Macaca mulatta: one gene and its partners. The protein of the gene in region 3 binds, or shares a complex with, the protein of the main gene of each other region. Links are inferred from orthologs where the notes say so. Each region holds a gene or a part of one and is shown on either strand. Other genes may lie near its edges.

What was found. Proteins that work in one complex are often made in the same cells at the same time.
Region 1: the proteins of ATP8B1 (region 3) and TMEM30A are in contact, whole or in part, in a cryo-EM structure (PDB 7VGI), measured with the Homo sapiens proteins. The link is inferred for Macaca mulatta from reciprocal best matches to the Homo sapiens genes ATP8B1 and TMEM30A. Residues at the interface, in NP_001361314.1 of Homo sapiens: Thr138, His359, Trp362, Glu363, Val366, Ser369, Ser370, Trp371, Tyr372, Leu373, Tyr374, Asp375, Gly376, Arg384, Ile388, Phe418, Asn420, Trp421, Asp422, Leu423, Tyr426, Lys430, Asp431, Thr432, Pro433, His939, Trp942, Arg946, Tyr968, Phe971; in NP_060717.1 of Homo sapiens: Lys24, Thr25, Arg26, Arg27, Pro28, Asn30, Phe33, Lys34, Gln35, Gln36, Arg37, Leu38, Pro39, Ala40, Trp41, Gln42, Pro43, Ile44, Leu45, Thr46, Ala47, Val50, Phe54, Ile57, Phe61, Ile64, Ile68, Ile75, Phe119, Tyr121.
Region 2: the proteins of ATP8B1 (region 3) and TMEM30B are in contact, whole or in part, in a cryo-EM structure (PDB 7VGH), measured with the Homo sapiens proteins. The link is inferred for Macaca mulatta from reciprocal best matches to the Homo sapiens genes ATP8B1 and TMEM30B. Residues at the interface, in NP_001361314.1 of Homo sapiens: Trp362, Val366, Ser369, Ser370, Trp371, Tyr372, Leu373, Tyr374, Asp375, Gly376, Phe418, Trp421, Asp422, Leu423, Tyr426, Asp431, Pro433, His939, Trp942, Arg946, Tyr968, Phe971, Asn972, Gly973, Ser975, Ala976, Gln977, Leu1003, Gln1005, Phe1049; in NP_001017970.1 of Homo sapiens: Gly9, Ala10, His11, Gln12, Pro13, Asn15, Phe18, Thr19, Gln20, Gln21, Arg22, Leu23, Pro24, Ala25, Trp26, Gln27, Pro28, Leu30, Ser31, Ala32, Ala35, Leu38, Phe39, Phe46, Leu49, Leu53, Tyr109, Tyr111, Asn116, Phe117.

What each region holds. Positions count from the first base shown.
Region 1 is NC_133409.1:110,454,108-110,459,252, forward strand, and holds the start of TMEM30A (cell cycle control protein 50A), read left to right. Parts: upstream 1-1,982; 5' UTR 1,983-2,099; coding exon 2,100-2,336; intron 2,337-5,145. UniProt on the Homo sapiens protein: Accessory component of a P4-ATPase flippase complex which catalyzes the hydrolysis of ATP coupled to the transport of aminophospholipids from the outer to the inner leaflet of various membranes and ensures the maintenance of asymmetric distribution of phospholipids.
Region 2 is NC_133412.1:134,385,481-134,390,387, forward strand, and holds the start of TMEM30B (cell cycle control protein 50B), read right to left. Parts: upstream 3,164-4,907; 5' UTR 2,298-3,163; coding exon 1,242-2,297; 3' UTR 1-1,241. UniProt on the Homo sapiens protein: Accessory component of a P4-ATPase flippase complex which catalyzes the hydrolysis of ATP coupled to the transport of aminophospholipids from the outer to the inner leaflet of various membranes and ensures the maintenance of asymmetric distribution of phospholipids.
Region 3 is NC_133423.1:23,342,624-23,346,123, reverse strand, and holds part of ATP8B1 (phospholipid-transporting ATPase IC), read right to left. Parts: intron 1,348-3,500; coding exon 1,215-1,347; intron 219-1,214; coding exon 1-218. UniProt on the Homo sapiens protein: Catalytic component of a P4-ATPase flippase complex which catalyzes the hydrolysis of ATP coupled to the transport of phospholipids, in particular phosphatidylcholines (PC), from the outer to the inner leaflet of the plasma membrane.

The DNA of each region.
Region 1 (5,145 bases), on a different chromosome or scaffold from region 3:
TAGAACAAAACCAAAAAATGAAGGTAAAATGACCATTTATACAGAGTGCTGGAATAGCAAAATATTAAAAAATGATCAAATTTAGTGGGCATGATGATATAGGCAGAAATGGGGAGGAAAAACCTGCCTTATATGTACTTTTGCAATATGCCCATATTTTGGCATACATTTTTACTAACAGAACTTAGCAAAATAAAAGGATTCCATGACTTCTCCATTAACTGTGATAGATTGTTTCCTATTTGAGCCTGGGGTTGAAGGTAAACTTAACAGATCAAAACAAAATATAGACCTAAGTATGTCAGCAGTGCTAAGAATTTGAGCATGAATGTCATGTAAGAGCAAACCCAAGCAAGTCGGTTATTAGAGGGCAACAAGTATTGTATCACTCTAAACTCTGCCTAGTAAGTATGTGATTGGCTCACATTTTTTAGACTTGTGGTCATTTTGAAAAAAATTTAACTGTAAATTTTTTTTTTTTTTTTGAGATGGAGTTTCACTCTTGTTGACCAGGCTGGAGTGCAACGGGGGATCTCGGGCTCACTGCAACCTTCGCCTCCCGGGTTCAAGTGATTCTCCTGCCTCAGCCTCCCGAGTAGCTGGGATTACAGGCCCGGCCACCACACTCGGCTAATTTTGTATTTTTAGTAAAGACGGGCTTTCATCATGTTGGCCAGGCTAGTCTCGAACTCCTGACCTCAGGTGATCCACCCGCCTCGGCCTTCCAAAGTGTTGGGATTACAGGCGTGACCCACGGTGCCCGGCCTAACTGTAAATTATGAGGACCAAGCACTCCTTATTTTCTCTTTCCTCAGTTTAACTTATTTAAGGCATTACTGCAGACTAAGCCTAAAAGTAATTTATTTTCAAATGATGCGACTTACTCTCTGGCCTAGACTTCAAAGATGTCAGTATAATGTGGATTGTATATAATTGTTTAAATTTTACAAATAACATACGCCTATTATAGAAATTTTGGAAAATACAGAAAAGTGCAAAGAAACAGGAAAAAAAAATTCCTCCATCCGGTCAACAGAGTTACCATTATTCACTTTTTAGTTCCGCTCTATATTATACTTCTACAGTCGCTACACTACTCTAATATCCTGACTTAGTCACCTTTTACATCACGAGTATTTCCTTGGGTCATTAAATATCTGGCACTTTTAAAGTGTTTACGGGGTATCTTATTTTGTAGTAATGCTATATGTCCTGGTTTTTACAACAGTAAGAGAAAAAGCTACAGCCTATTACAAAACACTTCCTATATCAATGCGCAAAAGAGAAAGGTGGACATAGAAAAGGGGAAAAGTAACGTGAGAATCAGCAATAGAGAAAAAATAAGTGAGAATCGCTTAATTAGAGGCAAGATAATAGGGCTAAGTCACATTATTGATTCTTGACTTTAGGACAAAAGGGGTACATGTTACGCACCTGTGTTCCAAGTTTATAATTGCACCTTGAATAGCGATTTATTTAATTAAACTCGCGGTTTTACAACCTAAGCAAATACTGCTAATTCTCCCCCGACTCAATCCCCCTTGAGGCCGCCTTTTAAATGCTCCGACTCCCTTCAGAGAAACCCTCGAGGTAAAAAGAAAAACCTGTCTGGCAATCCGGACCTGCAGTCGCCACTATAACCAGAGTAGCAGGCAGGTGTGTGCTAACTAAAGCCACGGCCAACAGAGCAAATATACGCCTACAGCGCAGGCTCGGAATCCCCTAGCTCTAGGGCCGCGCATGCGCCAATGTAGCTTCGCGCTCGGGTGGCTGAGTCCGTCACAGGACAGATGATCAGGGTGCGTCCGCCTTTTCCTTCCCCCTTCTATCCTCCTCCCCTTTCCCCTCCCCTTGTCCCTCCTTCTTCTCCCTCCTCCCTCTCTCCCTCCCTCTGGCGTCTCCAGCCGACTTACGCTTCCTGTCCGCGGCCTTTGGCGGAAGAGTGTCCCGCCTCTTCCGCTCCACAGCGGAGGCGGCTGTGGCGGTGGCCCTGGTGGCGGCGGCGGCGGCAGCGGAGCTCGAGCGGTTCCTGTCAGGGTCAGCCGGCGGGCCCCCTGGGTGGTCCACCTGCAAGTGGCGGAGCGGTGCCCCGGGGATCGATGGCGATGAACTATAACGCGAAGGATGAAGTGGACGGTGGGCCCCCTTGTGCTCCGGGGGGCACCGCGAAGACTCGGAGACCGGATAACACGGCCTTCAAACAGCAACGGCTGCCAGCTTGGCAGCCCATCCTTACGGCTGGCACGGTGCTACCTATTTTCTTCATCATCGGCCTCATCTTCATTCCCATTGGCATTGGCATCTTTGTCACCTCCAACAACATCCGCGAGATCGAGGTGAGGGGAGGGAGCTGTGGTGGGAGTTGGCGTTGCTCGGGAGGACGGTCCTACGCGCCCGCCCCACTCCTTTCCCAGCGCCCTAAAGCCAGTTGACAGGCAGACCCCGCGCCGCCCCCCACCCCCTTCCCTCTGTTTTTTCTTTCTCTTTCTGCGGGTTTCCTGAATTTGCAGCTTTGTCCTAGCTTTGTCTTGCGGTTTACGAAAGAGCAAATCGACGGGATGAGCTGAGACGGAATGAATGTTTAATGCAGAAGATGGGTCAGGTGGAGAACGCTTCTTCAGTAGGCGGTTTGTGTGGTTCCATGGGGGATTAGCGGGGGTTGTTCACGGAGGTAAAAAGAGAAGTGGGGGCGGGGGCAATTGTAGCTAGGTAGATGCAACCCTGAGTGAATTGACAGGGTCAAAAGTGTCATTACCTTTGTGGGCGTTATCCGAAGACACAGAGATGAACACCTTGGCCATTGTTGGGAAAAGAACCAGAGTCGTAGAGGTATTGACGATTCTAATATAAAGAAGCTGTCGCATGTTATCAGGTCACGTATGAGGACTTACGACAAATGTGCATAGTACTTTTCATTTTGAGCTAATTCGATATTTTCAGTTGTGGGGCAAGATACACAGGAAAGATAACCTGAAACTTCAATTCTGGTTTTGCTTTTAGGCTACGTTTATTAATGGGCCCTACATTTGCTGGTCTTTTTTTTTTTTTTTTTTTTTTTTTTTTACAAAAAGAGCCAGTGACCACATTCAGGGAGTAAGTTGTCCACTGTCTACCAAACATTTTACTGATACTAACTTTGCTGAATATGTAAGACATGACAGGAAAACTTGGGGAAACATTTCTTTGTCAGAAGCACAGTATCTTTATCTGTAGGGGTGAAGATGGTTGATAGTACACTGTATTAATATATGCTGTATAGGTGTCCAGTATTAAGCATCTCTCATCTTTTCTTGCATATCTGAGAATGTTGTTGTTTTCTAAATCTATTTGAAAGGGCAGGAACTAGTAAGAAGTTCTCTTGATTCCTTCTGTTCTATTTATACACACACACACACATTTTAATAAATATACTTACCTATGTGATTTAATGGGACTTTGAGAGTAATTTTATTTTTAACTACTGAAATAGGGATGGGGTTCCACTTTAATTTGCAGTGTTCTCTCTAAAAGCAAGATTCATGTGTTTTGTAATTCTACAGTGCTTACTTCAGTGTTGACGACAGTAATGAGAATAGTATCTATAGCATAACTAGTTTTAAAATTTTTTACTAAAAATTTATTCTCAATTTAATAACTAAAGAGTTACAGTATTTTTTTCAGCATGTATTTTAGTTTGTTTTATCACCTTAATCTCCCTAATAATCCTGCAAATGTAGTACTTCTTGTTCTAACCATACTAGGATCACACATTATATTAGTATATGGGCAAAGTGGTGTCATGCAAGGAACATGGGCATTGGCTGGGGTCAGGCAGAGCTGGTTTTAAATTCTAGCTCAGCTACTAACCATCTCAGTTTCTTGGAAAATTTCCTTAATCTCTCTGAGCTTCAGTTTCCTGCAAAATAGGTAGAATAATTCATATCTTCTAAGGTGTGAGAATTAGAAGCAATGTAAATAAGATGTCTGGCAGTAGGGATCTGTCTCCTGATCCTTAATCAGGAGATGAGAAAGAGTTTGAGATTTGACAGTAAACTAGTTAAGAGTATTATAAAAAATGAGACAGAAACTCAGGTGTCTTGACTCCCAGCTTTAAGCTTTCACCCTACACTAAGATCCTTACTGCAATGTTAATAAAGTAGAAGAAAATAATTTAACATCTGAAATTTGAATGATTTTATTTAAACTTCTTAAGATAAGAGGAAAATAGCAATAATTTGGAATTGTGTATAAGTTAGTATTTTCAGAGCTCAACTTCCATTAATATTTACCATAGTAGAAAAATAAATGTTTAACTTTTCTTAAAATCTTTGGGTTTTGGAGTAAAATAAGGTTCCTCACACTAAGTAGTAGACAAAATAGAAATTTTTCAAATAGCTCTCATGTGTAATTCTGATTTCAAGTTGCCTGAAGAATCTGCTGCAGCTTAGCCTGGTTAAAAGGGCACTGAAGAGTCAGGGAATTAGGGTTGAAATCCCACCTCTGTCACTCTGTACTTTGTGATCTTAGGTATAATTTTGAGTCCAGTTTCTTTACTTGAAGAACCAAAAGATTCAGATTAAACTGCCTCTAAGAGGCTGTTCAACTCTAAAATTCTATGATATCCAATTCAAATGTGATTTTTAAAAAACTGGATGTGTTTAAATTGTATTGCCTTTGGAGCAAGAGGAAATGAAAACTAAGAATAATTTAGAATTTTTTACTGACAATGAACATACAGTTGTGCAGACAGAATCCACATATGTATTTTTAAAGTTTGGATGCTGGATATATAGAGAAATGCTTCTGAATTGTGTCTGGAGTTATTAGAAAAACCTACGGAGATTCCCCAAACACACATACTTGTTTCCTTCTTGTTCTCTACTCTGTTAGCCACTAGTTGTAATTGGGTAATGAGAAGTTCTTACCAACATTCACTCTCATACTGTAAGTTACTCACACTTTATTTTTTATTTGAGAAAATCTTCATTGCTATATTAGTTCAAATTACTAGGGCAAAGGAGACTTGTCAAATCCAAATGCTTTTGTAATATAGTTTAAAGTGCCAAAATCAAAAATTCAAACTTTTTCAAGTATAAAATCACTGGATTTTTCTCATTCCTGCAGAAATATTGCACTAAAAATTACTACTTTTGAAAAGTGTCTTGG
Region 2 (4,907 bases), on a different chromosome or scaffold from region 3:
AAATAATCTTAAGATTCTAGTTTACATAAAAGACTATATATGCCTTAGCACTGATTCAAATATGATTACTAGGAATCAACAGATTTCATTTGAAAAGATAAATTTTTTTCCAGATGCAAGGGAAAAGGTATGAAGCCCTTTCTAAACACACACACGCACACTAAATGATAAAGAAGATTGAGCTAGGAGACATAGATGTGACTTTAGGGAACTTACTTTCCCTCGAAGATCTCTTCCAGCTGTCTGATTCTAGGTTAAAGCATTTCCTCTGAACTGTACAAACTGGCCTCACATTTTCGAGTTTCTACACAGTACCTGGCAAAGTTTGCCTGTTTGCTTTTATACCAAAATACTAAAATATTAAATGAATAACATAAACCCTGTCCTACAACTCTGTATGCCAACTAGTTTTCCCGAGATAGTGATTTTTTAAAAATTCATTCCACAAGTCATCAAGAGCTTCCTACGTTCAAGGCAGAGTGCCAGACCAAACCTGGAACATCATGGTTGTCACTGCCCCCGGGAACAAATTACTATCCAAAAAAGTGAACTCAGTTGACTGCTTCAGGCCCAACCTGGTTCAGGGTCGTGATTCCCAAATTTGAGGGAGTATGGGACTCTCCAGAGGAGTTTGTTAAAACACAGCTTCGAGGGTCTCATCCCAGCCTTACTGTGACTGAATCTCTGGTTGGTGTCTCCTAATCTACCTGCATATTTAACAAGCATGTTCTCCCTCACGCTTCCACATCTCTGCAGGTAATTTGTGGGCCTCACTCTCCATTCCAACCCACTCCCCTCACCAAAGAAAAGAAAACCACAGTATTGTAGTGGCAAAAGCTCTAGACTCAAGAGTCAGGAGTCACTTGCAGCTGCCTGATCTTAGTTACTTCACATTGCTAGGTCTCTCAATCTCTTCCTCTGATAGGGGTTGAACAGGAGTCTCCATAGGGATCCCTTCCCTTCTCAGACTTGAAGAACCTCACATGGCAACTCGGTGTCGTGAAGGAGGTGGGAAGAGTTTGCAATGATGTTTCACTCTGCAGTCAACATCCCTCCCCGCGGCAAGACAGTCTAGCGAGCCCCCCAAGAGCAAGGGGGTAATTCCCTTCTCTGATCCCCTCATTCACAAAGGGAGGAAAAGCGAGGAGAGGTTGGAATTGGGCCAGGGGCGAGGAGGAGATGCCAGAAGAAGCTCGGAAGAGTTTTGGCAAGAAGCAGGAAGGATCCCTGGAAAGCTGGAATCACTCCTCGTCGTCGTCGTCCTGGTCCTGGTAGCGAATGTAGACGATCAGCATGACAAAGCCGGTGAAGATGCAGAGGGAGCCGACGACCAGGTAGGCGATGCCGAGGAAAGGGTTCTTGCCACCCATCCACGAGATGCTGCTGAAGATGAGGAGCTTGTGGCCGCCGAACGCGCGCACCGGGTAGTTGTAGGTGATGTTGACGCGGTAGGCGCCCCGCGGCAGCCCGGCCGAATAGTTGCCCTGGCGGATGCGCGCATACAGCTTGCGGAACGTGGGCAGCGCCGCCGTGCGCATCCACACCACGAAGTCCTGGTTGATGAAACCGGTGTTGTTGGGGTCGGGGCTGAGCTCGTAGACCGGCCGGCGCCAGTTGGGCGGGGGCGCCGTGCCCTGGAAGGCCAGCGCCAGGCTGCCGTTGACCAGCGGCGGGTTGCGGAACTTGACGTGGTAGTCGGTCCACCAGGCGATGCCGGAGCGGTCGAGCGGCACCTCGACGTAGAGCCCGCCTGGCAGGCGCTGGTGCCAAAGCGAGAAGGAGTCGTTGAAGAGACTGTTGGCGATGGCGCCGCAGGGCGCGATGGGCAGGCCGGCCGCGCTGAGCTGGTAGGGGGCGCACTCGTTGACCGGGTGGCGCAGCGCGCTGGGCAGCCCGCTCAGCTGCTCGTCGTCGCGGGACACGCCGTAGCGCCGGTTGTTCTGGTAGAAGTTGGTCAGCTCGTAGTAGAGGTACACGGGGCCCTGGAAGAGCTCGGGCAGCGAGAAGGACCAGGCGCACGAGCAGGGGGGCGGCGGCGCGCGGCCCTGGCCAGCCTCGGCGCACACCGAGCAGTTGCTGGTGCCCGAGTCGCCGGTGTAGTCGTACTCCAGCTCCTTGATGCCGTTGGAGGAGTAGTAGAGGCCCAGGCCCAGGCCAATGAAGGCCAGGCCCGCGCAGAAGAAGAGCGGCAGCGCGATGCTGGCCGACAGCAGCGGCTGCCAGGCTGGGAGGCGCTGCTGCGTGAAGGCGGTGTTGTCGGGCTGGTGGGCGCCCCGGGCCGTGGCGCTCCAGGTCATGGCGGCCGTGCGGGGACCGACGCGTGGGCTGACCGAGGGGGGCCCCGCCGCGCGAGCCTGGGGACTGCTGGCGGGTCGGGTTTCCAGCCGGCTCAGGTGGGTTTTTGCCCGGGCCCCGCCTCTGCCTCCCTCACAGGTGAGTTTAGTTCCAGGCCCTACAAGCAGTGCCCACACCCCCCAGTTCCGCCTCCGCCCAGGTGCGCTCCACCGTCGCGGGTCACCGGGAGCCGCACCTCGCTCGCCCCTTCCGAGGTGAGCAGGTGGGTGTTTTTTACCTCACCTGGTAGACTCAGTCTCGCCTTTCCTCTCAGTCCGGGTCATGGGACTCCAGCTCCTCCTCTCCAAGGTGAGTGGCGGCCCCGGACTGCCTCTGAGTGGCTCATACCTGGCTCAGGTACCACCTTCTCTTTCGCCTTCCAAGTGACTGGATTTCCTGGGCCAGTCTCCCGAAATCAAAAGGCGCTCCGGCCTCCTCTCCTGAGGGCTTGCACCATGTCCGGGAGGCTTGAAGATTTCAGGTTGTTAATCCCCTGTTATTTGCGGGGAAAAGGTGACTCTAGACCATTTTGTCTTTTAGGTTAGCTTCAGAAAACCCTTTCGCCCAGCTTTCAGTCTCAAGTTGGGAGTGTCCGGGGAATTACGTTGTGATAAATCTGTTTCGAATTCAACGCCTGTGTTCAAATTTTAGCTTTTTTTTTTTTTTTTTTTTAAGGGAAAATGATTTTCTGGCCAGATCACCCAGTCTGGCTGTATAACTAGGAAATGTGGAAAGTTCTCTAAAAATAAAATGATCCTTAAAAAGAATCAAAGGCTGGAGAGGTTCAGAGCCTTTAAATAACTCTCTAGCTGGTGGAGAAACCAAGAAAGGAAGAAATGTGCTGGACTACATGTGATTTTGTTTTCTTTTCAGATTATTTGCCTGACTAGAGAAAGGCCCAATCCAAGGTCCCAGGAGACCTAGCTGCTATCCACAAAGAAATCTGGAGTGTCTGGCCTAAGGAGGTGAACTACAAGAATGTATAGGATTTATTATAAAAAGAACTCAAATTAGCTCCCTAGGTTGTGTGGGATTCTGGCTTGCTTTTTTAAAAATCTAGGTTGGTATAACATATACCAAGGGGGTATTGGGACATTCTGATTTCTTACTAAATCTTCCCTAGGTATTGTGTTCTTGCTTCTCCTCCAGCTTGTAAAATGCAAGTAATACAAATGTTTTCTCTATTACACTACACCTAGCATAATATAGTGTATTCAGAAGTCATTCAAAACCCACTGAAACTTGGAAAGTTAAAATGCGTATTAAATTGAACAGAGGAATTTTGTTAGCATCTTCCAGGTATTCAGTCCTATGCTAATTAGACAAAAAAGGACCTTTGACCTCAAGGCATTTGCAGTCTGATAGGGGACATATTAGGAGTAAGAAGCAAAATAGCCAATAATATCTATTTATCATAGGGTGTAATTAAGTATCAAATTGCACTCTATAAGTCACACTAAAATTAAAAAGTAATATTGTTTTAATACTGGAACATTGATTCCATGTTGTTAAATGAATGCAAGTTGGAAACTTTAGGTATTAGAGAAGACTGAGGGAAATTCAAGTGACTTGAATTTCAATTCCCTCACTTCTTATCATACCCCAAGAGAGGAAGTTCCAAAATTCTCAACAAGTTCCCATAGTGTGATTCAGTCTCCATTCACCATTTTTTTCAATAAAGAATAAATAGTTCTTTGTATCATTATGGTTGAGTTCCACCCACCCCTGTATCATTGAATCACTAGTCCAGACAACTATCCTCTAGAAGGAATTCAGTTTTCACAACTTTAGTAGATTTTTTTTTTTTTTTTTTTTTTTTTTTGAGAGAGAGTTGTCTCCCTCAGTTGTCCAGGCTTGTCTCAAACTCTTGAGCCCAAGAGATCCTTCTGCCTCAGCTTCCCAAATTGTTGGGATCATAGGTGTGAGCCATCACACCAAGCCTATCTGGTAAATCTTAAGTCTTTTTCTAGTAGATCACCACCACACCCTAAAAGTGCAAGCCCCATTCTTGAGCTCAGAGCCTTTCCTCCTTTTCTCCTATCCTTGGATGACCTAAAGGTACTAGTTTATTCATTCCGTGACAGATTTTCAAAGTCAAAAGAGAATGTTTAAAGACAAGGAATGGTCAACAGAGTTAAACACAGCTGAGTGTTCAAGTGAGATAAATGAAAAGGAACTAGGGGGTTTGACTTTTGTGGGAGCACTTTGGGTGGTTTGTGTGGCAGGAATCAAGTTATCATCAGGTGCAGGGAAGGGGAAGTAGATAGCAAGATAGGAAGACACTCTTTTTTTTTTTTTTTTTTAGAGATGAGGTCTTGCTGGGCATGGTGGCTCGCCTATAATTCCAGCACTTCGGGAGGCCAAGGCAGGAGGATCACTTGAGCCCAGCAGTTTGAGACTAGCCTGGGCAATATAAGGAGATGTTGTCTCTACAAGAAATTTAAAAAATGATCTGGGTGTGGTGGCATGTGCCTGAGGCCCCAGCTACTCAAGAGGCTGAGGTGGGAGGATCGCTTTAACCAGGGATGTCAAGGCTGCAGTGAGTTCTGATTGCACCACTGTACTCCAGCCTG
Region 3 (3,500 bases):
AGGTCCACCACCATGGCCTTCTGCTTGGGGGTGACGCGGCAGCAGATGACTGCGCTGCACTCGCAGGCCAGGTCCACAAAGTTTTTCTGCTGCTGCTCTTTCTTAGCTTCTAGCCTCCTTTTACTTTGGGTCCGCATCCGTCTTTCTTCTTCCGTTCTTGGGAACTTCAGCTTCAGAATCTTACTTCTCTTGGTCTTTTTCTCGAGAAGAATTTCATTCTGTGAAATCAGAGAGGGAAAAGGTTACATTCATTTTAGTTTTACCCCAGGAGTACCATTCCCAAGATTTAAATTATGTGAAGGATAATTTTTGGGTTATATCACTGATTGTATTTGACAAACAAATTTGATTTTATAATCAAAATATGTATATGTATGTGTATACATATATATACACACACACACACACATATATATATATGTATTTTTTTGAGACGGAGTCTCTGTTGCCAGGCTGGAATGCAGTGGCACGATCTTGGCTCACTGTAACCTCCACCTCCCAGGTTCAAGCGATTTCCCTGCCTCAGCCTCCCGAGTAGCTGGGACTACAGGTGTGCGCCACCACGCCTGGCTAATTTTTTTTTTTTTTTTTTTTTTTTGTATTTTAGTAGAGACAGGGCTTCACCATGTTGGCCAGGATGGTCTCCATCTCCTGACCTTGTGATCTGCCCACCTTGGCCTCCCAAAGTGCTGGGAGTACAGGCGTGAGCCACCGTGCTTGGCTATATATATATATATATATATATATTTTTTTTTTTTTTTTTAATGGAGATGGTGTCTTGCTGTGTAGCCTGGGTTGAAGTGCAGTGGCTATTCATTCACAAGTGTGATCATTGCATGCTGCAGCCTTGAACACCTAAGCTCAAACCACCCTCCTGTTTCAGCCTCCGGAGTAGCTAGGACTACAGGCGCATGCTACCACATCCAGCTTATAAAATATATATGCAACAAAAATTTAGAAAATCCAACAATCTATAAAGAAGAAAATGGAAAATACCCATTAATTAATAAACCAAGATAAACACTTTGACCTCTTTGGTATACATCCTTTCATATATCATATACTATTAAGTCTTAAACTTGGAAAAATCGCACTTTCATGTATAGGCTAAGAGACTTTTAGGTTGGCAGTTAACATGTGAAAACATCTAAAAGTGGCCCCAAAAGAACTTCTTTCTTCTGAGTTAAAGGCACAGATACACTAATGATACATACCAACCAAGAACCAGTGATGATTAACGCACGGTTTCCACCGGGTGGAAAAAAACGTTCCTGCACAGGAGGTGCAAACTTTGCATAGACTCCACCTCTATTCCTCTGGTTTTCCATCCTTGCATGGAGAAGAGAACTAGGGGAAAGCAAATTTAAGTGTTTAATAGGCCCTTGATTCTGAGATAATTTTGACTTAAAAAAAAGGTGACAAAAAACCAAAGTTTACCATCTTAACTATTTTTGTTTATTTTATTTTCATTATAATTTTTTTGAGAGAGGGTCTCACTCTGTCACCCAGGCTGGAGGGCAGTGGCATGATCATGGGTCACTGCAGCCTTGACCTCCCAGGCTCAAGTGATTCTCCTGCCTCAGCCTTCTGAATTGCTGGGACTATAGGCACACGCTATCATGCCTGGCTAATTTTTGTATTTTTTGTAGCAATAGGGTTTCGCCATATCCCAGGCTTTGGCCATTTTTAAGTGTACAGCTTAGTAGTATTAACTATAGTCACATTGTTATCTAACCAATCTCTAGAACTTTTTCATCTTAAAAAACTGAAACTCTATACCTATTACACAATAACACCTCATCTCACTCACCCTCCAGTCCCTGGTAACTTCCAGTTTACTTTCTGTTTGAATGAATTTGAGCACTCTAGATACCTCATATATGTGAAATCAAACAGTATTTGTCTTTTTGTGACTGGTTTATTTCACTTAGCATAATGTCTTCAAGGTTCATCTATATAACATGTCATAATTTCCTTCTTTTTTAAAGTTGAATATATTCCATTATGTGGAGGCACCACATTCTGTTTATTCATTCACACAATGATGGGCACCTGGGTTGTGTCCACCTCTTGGCTACTGTGAACAGTGTTGCTATGAACATGGGTGTGCATGTATCTCTTTGAGATCCTGCTTTCAATTATTTTGTGGATATACCCAGAAGTGGGATTGTTGAATTATATGGTAATCTTTTTTAAAATTTTTTTGAAGCATCACCATACTGTTTTGCATAGTGGCTGCACCATTTTATATATTTCATCAACAACACACAAAGGTTCCTTCAACAATGCTTATTTTCTATTGTGTTTTGTTTTTGATAGTATCCATCCTAAACGGTGTGAGGTATTATCTTGCTTTGGTTTTGATTTCTCTTCCCCTAATAGTGATGATGAGCATCCTTTCACATGTTTATCAGCCATTTGTATGTCCTTTTTGGAAAAATGTCTACTCAAAGTGCTTTACCCATTATTATTTTTTTTTAGACAGAGTCTCGCTCTGTCACCAGGCTGGAGTGCAGTGGTGTGATCTCAGCTCACTGCAACATCCGCTTCCCAGGTTCAAGCAATTCTCCTGCCTCAGCCACCCAAGTAGCTGGGACTACAGGTGTGTGCCACCACGCCTGGCTAATTTTTGTATTTTTAGTAGAGACAGGGTTTCACCATATTGGCCAGGATGGTCTCAATCTCTTGATCTCACAATCCGCCCGCCTCAGCCCCCCACAGTGCTGGGATTACAGGCATGAGCCACCGTGTCCAGCCAGCCTTTTTTTTTTTTTAACTGAGTGACATGTAATTTTACTAAGTCTTGATTCGTCCACCATGGGGGGGCACCATGTTGTTGGTAATTCACCATTTTTCAAAGACAGCTAAAGGAAGATACAGTTGAAAATGTATACACAGCAACAGAAGAAAGGCAATCTTAGGCCAGGCACTGTGGCTTACACCTGTAATCCCAGCACTTTGGGAGGCTGAGGCGGGCAGATCATCTGAGGTCAGGAGTTCCAAGCCAGGCTGGCCAACATAGTGAAACTCTGTCTCTACTAAAAATACAAAAATTAGCCAGGCATAGTGGTGGTGCCTGTAATCCCAGCTACTTGGGAGGCTGAGGCATGAGGATCACTTGAACCCAGGAGGTAGAGTTTGCAAAGAGACAAGATTGCACCACTGCACCCCAGCCTGGGTGGCAGAAATAGTCTTTTTCATTAAAAAAAAAAAAAAGGAAAGGCAATCTTGATCTGAATTAGAATACTATTGTTGTTAGGAAGAAACTTATTTTCATATAAACAAAATTATATCTGTGAGAAATTCTCAGTGCTTTATATCAACAAATTGAATGTTTATGTTAAAATGATATATGTGACAAGGCCACATATAACACTTTCATGTGATAGAAAAATGAGTCATGAAACTTTGGAGTGGAAGGGACCTTAAATATCTTGTCCAATCTCTTCATGTTACAAATAAGGAAATCAAGCCAGAGGAAGGTGATGTGATTTGCCTGC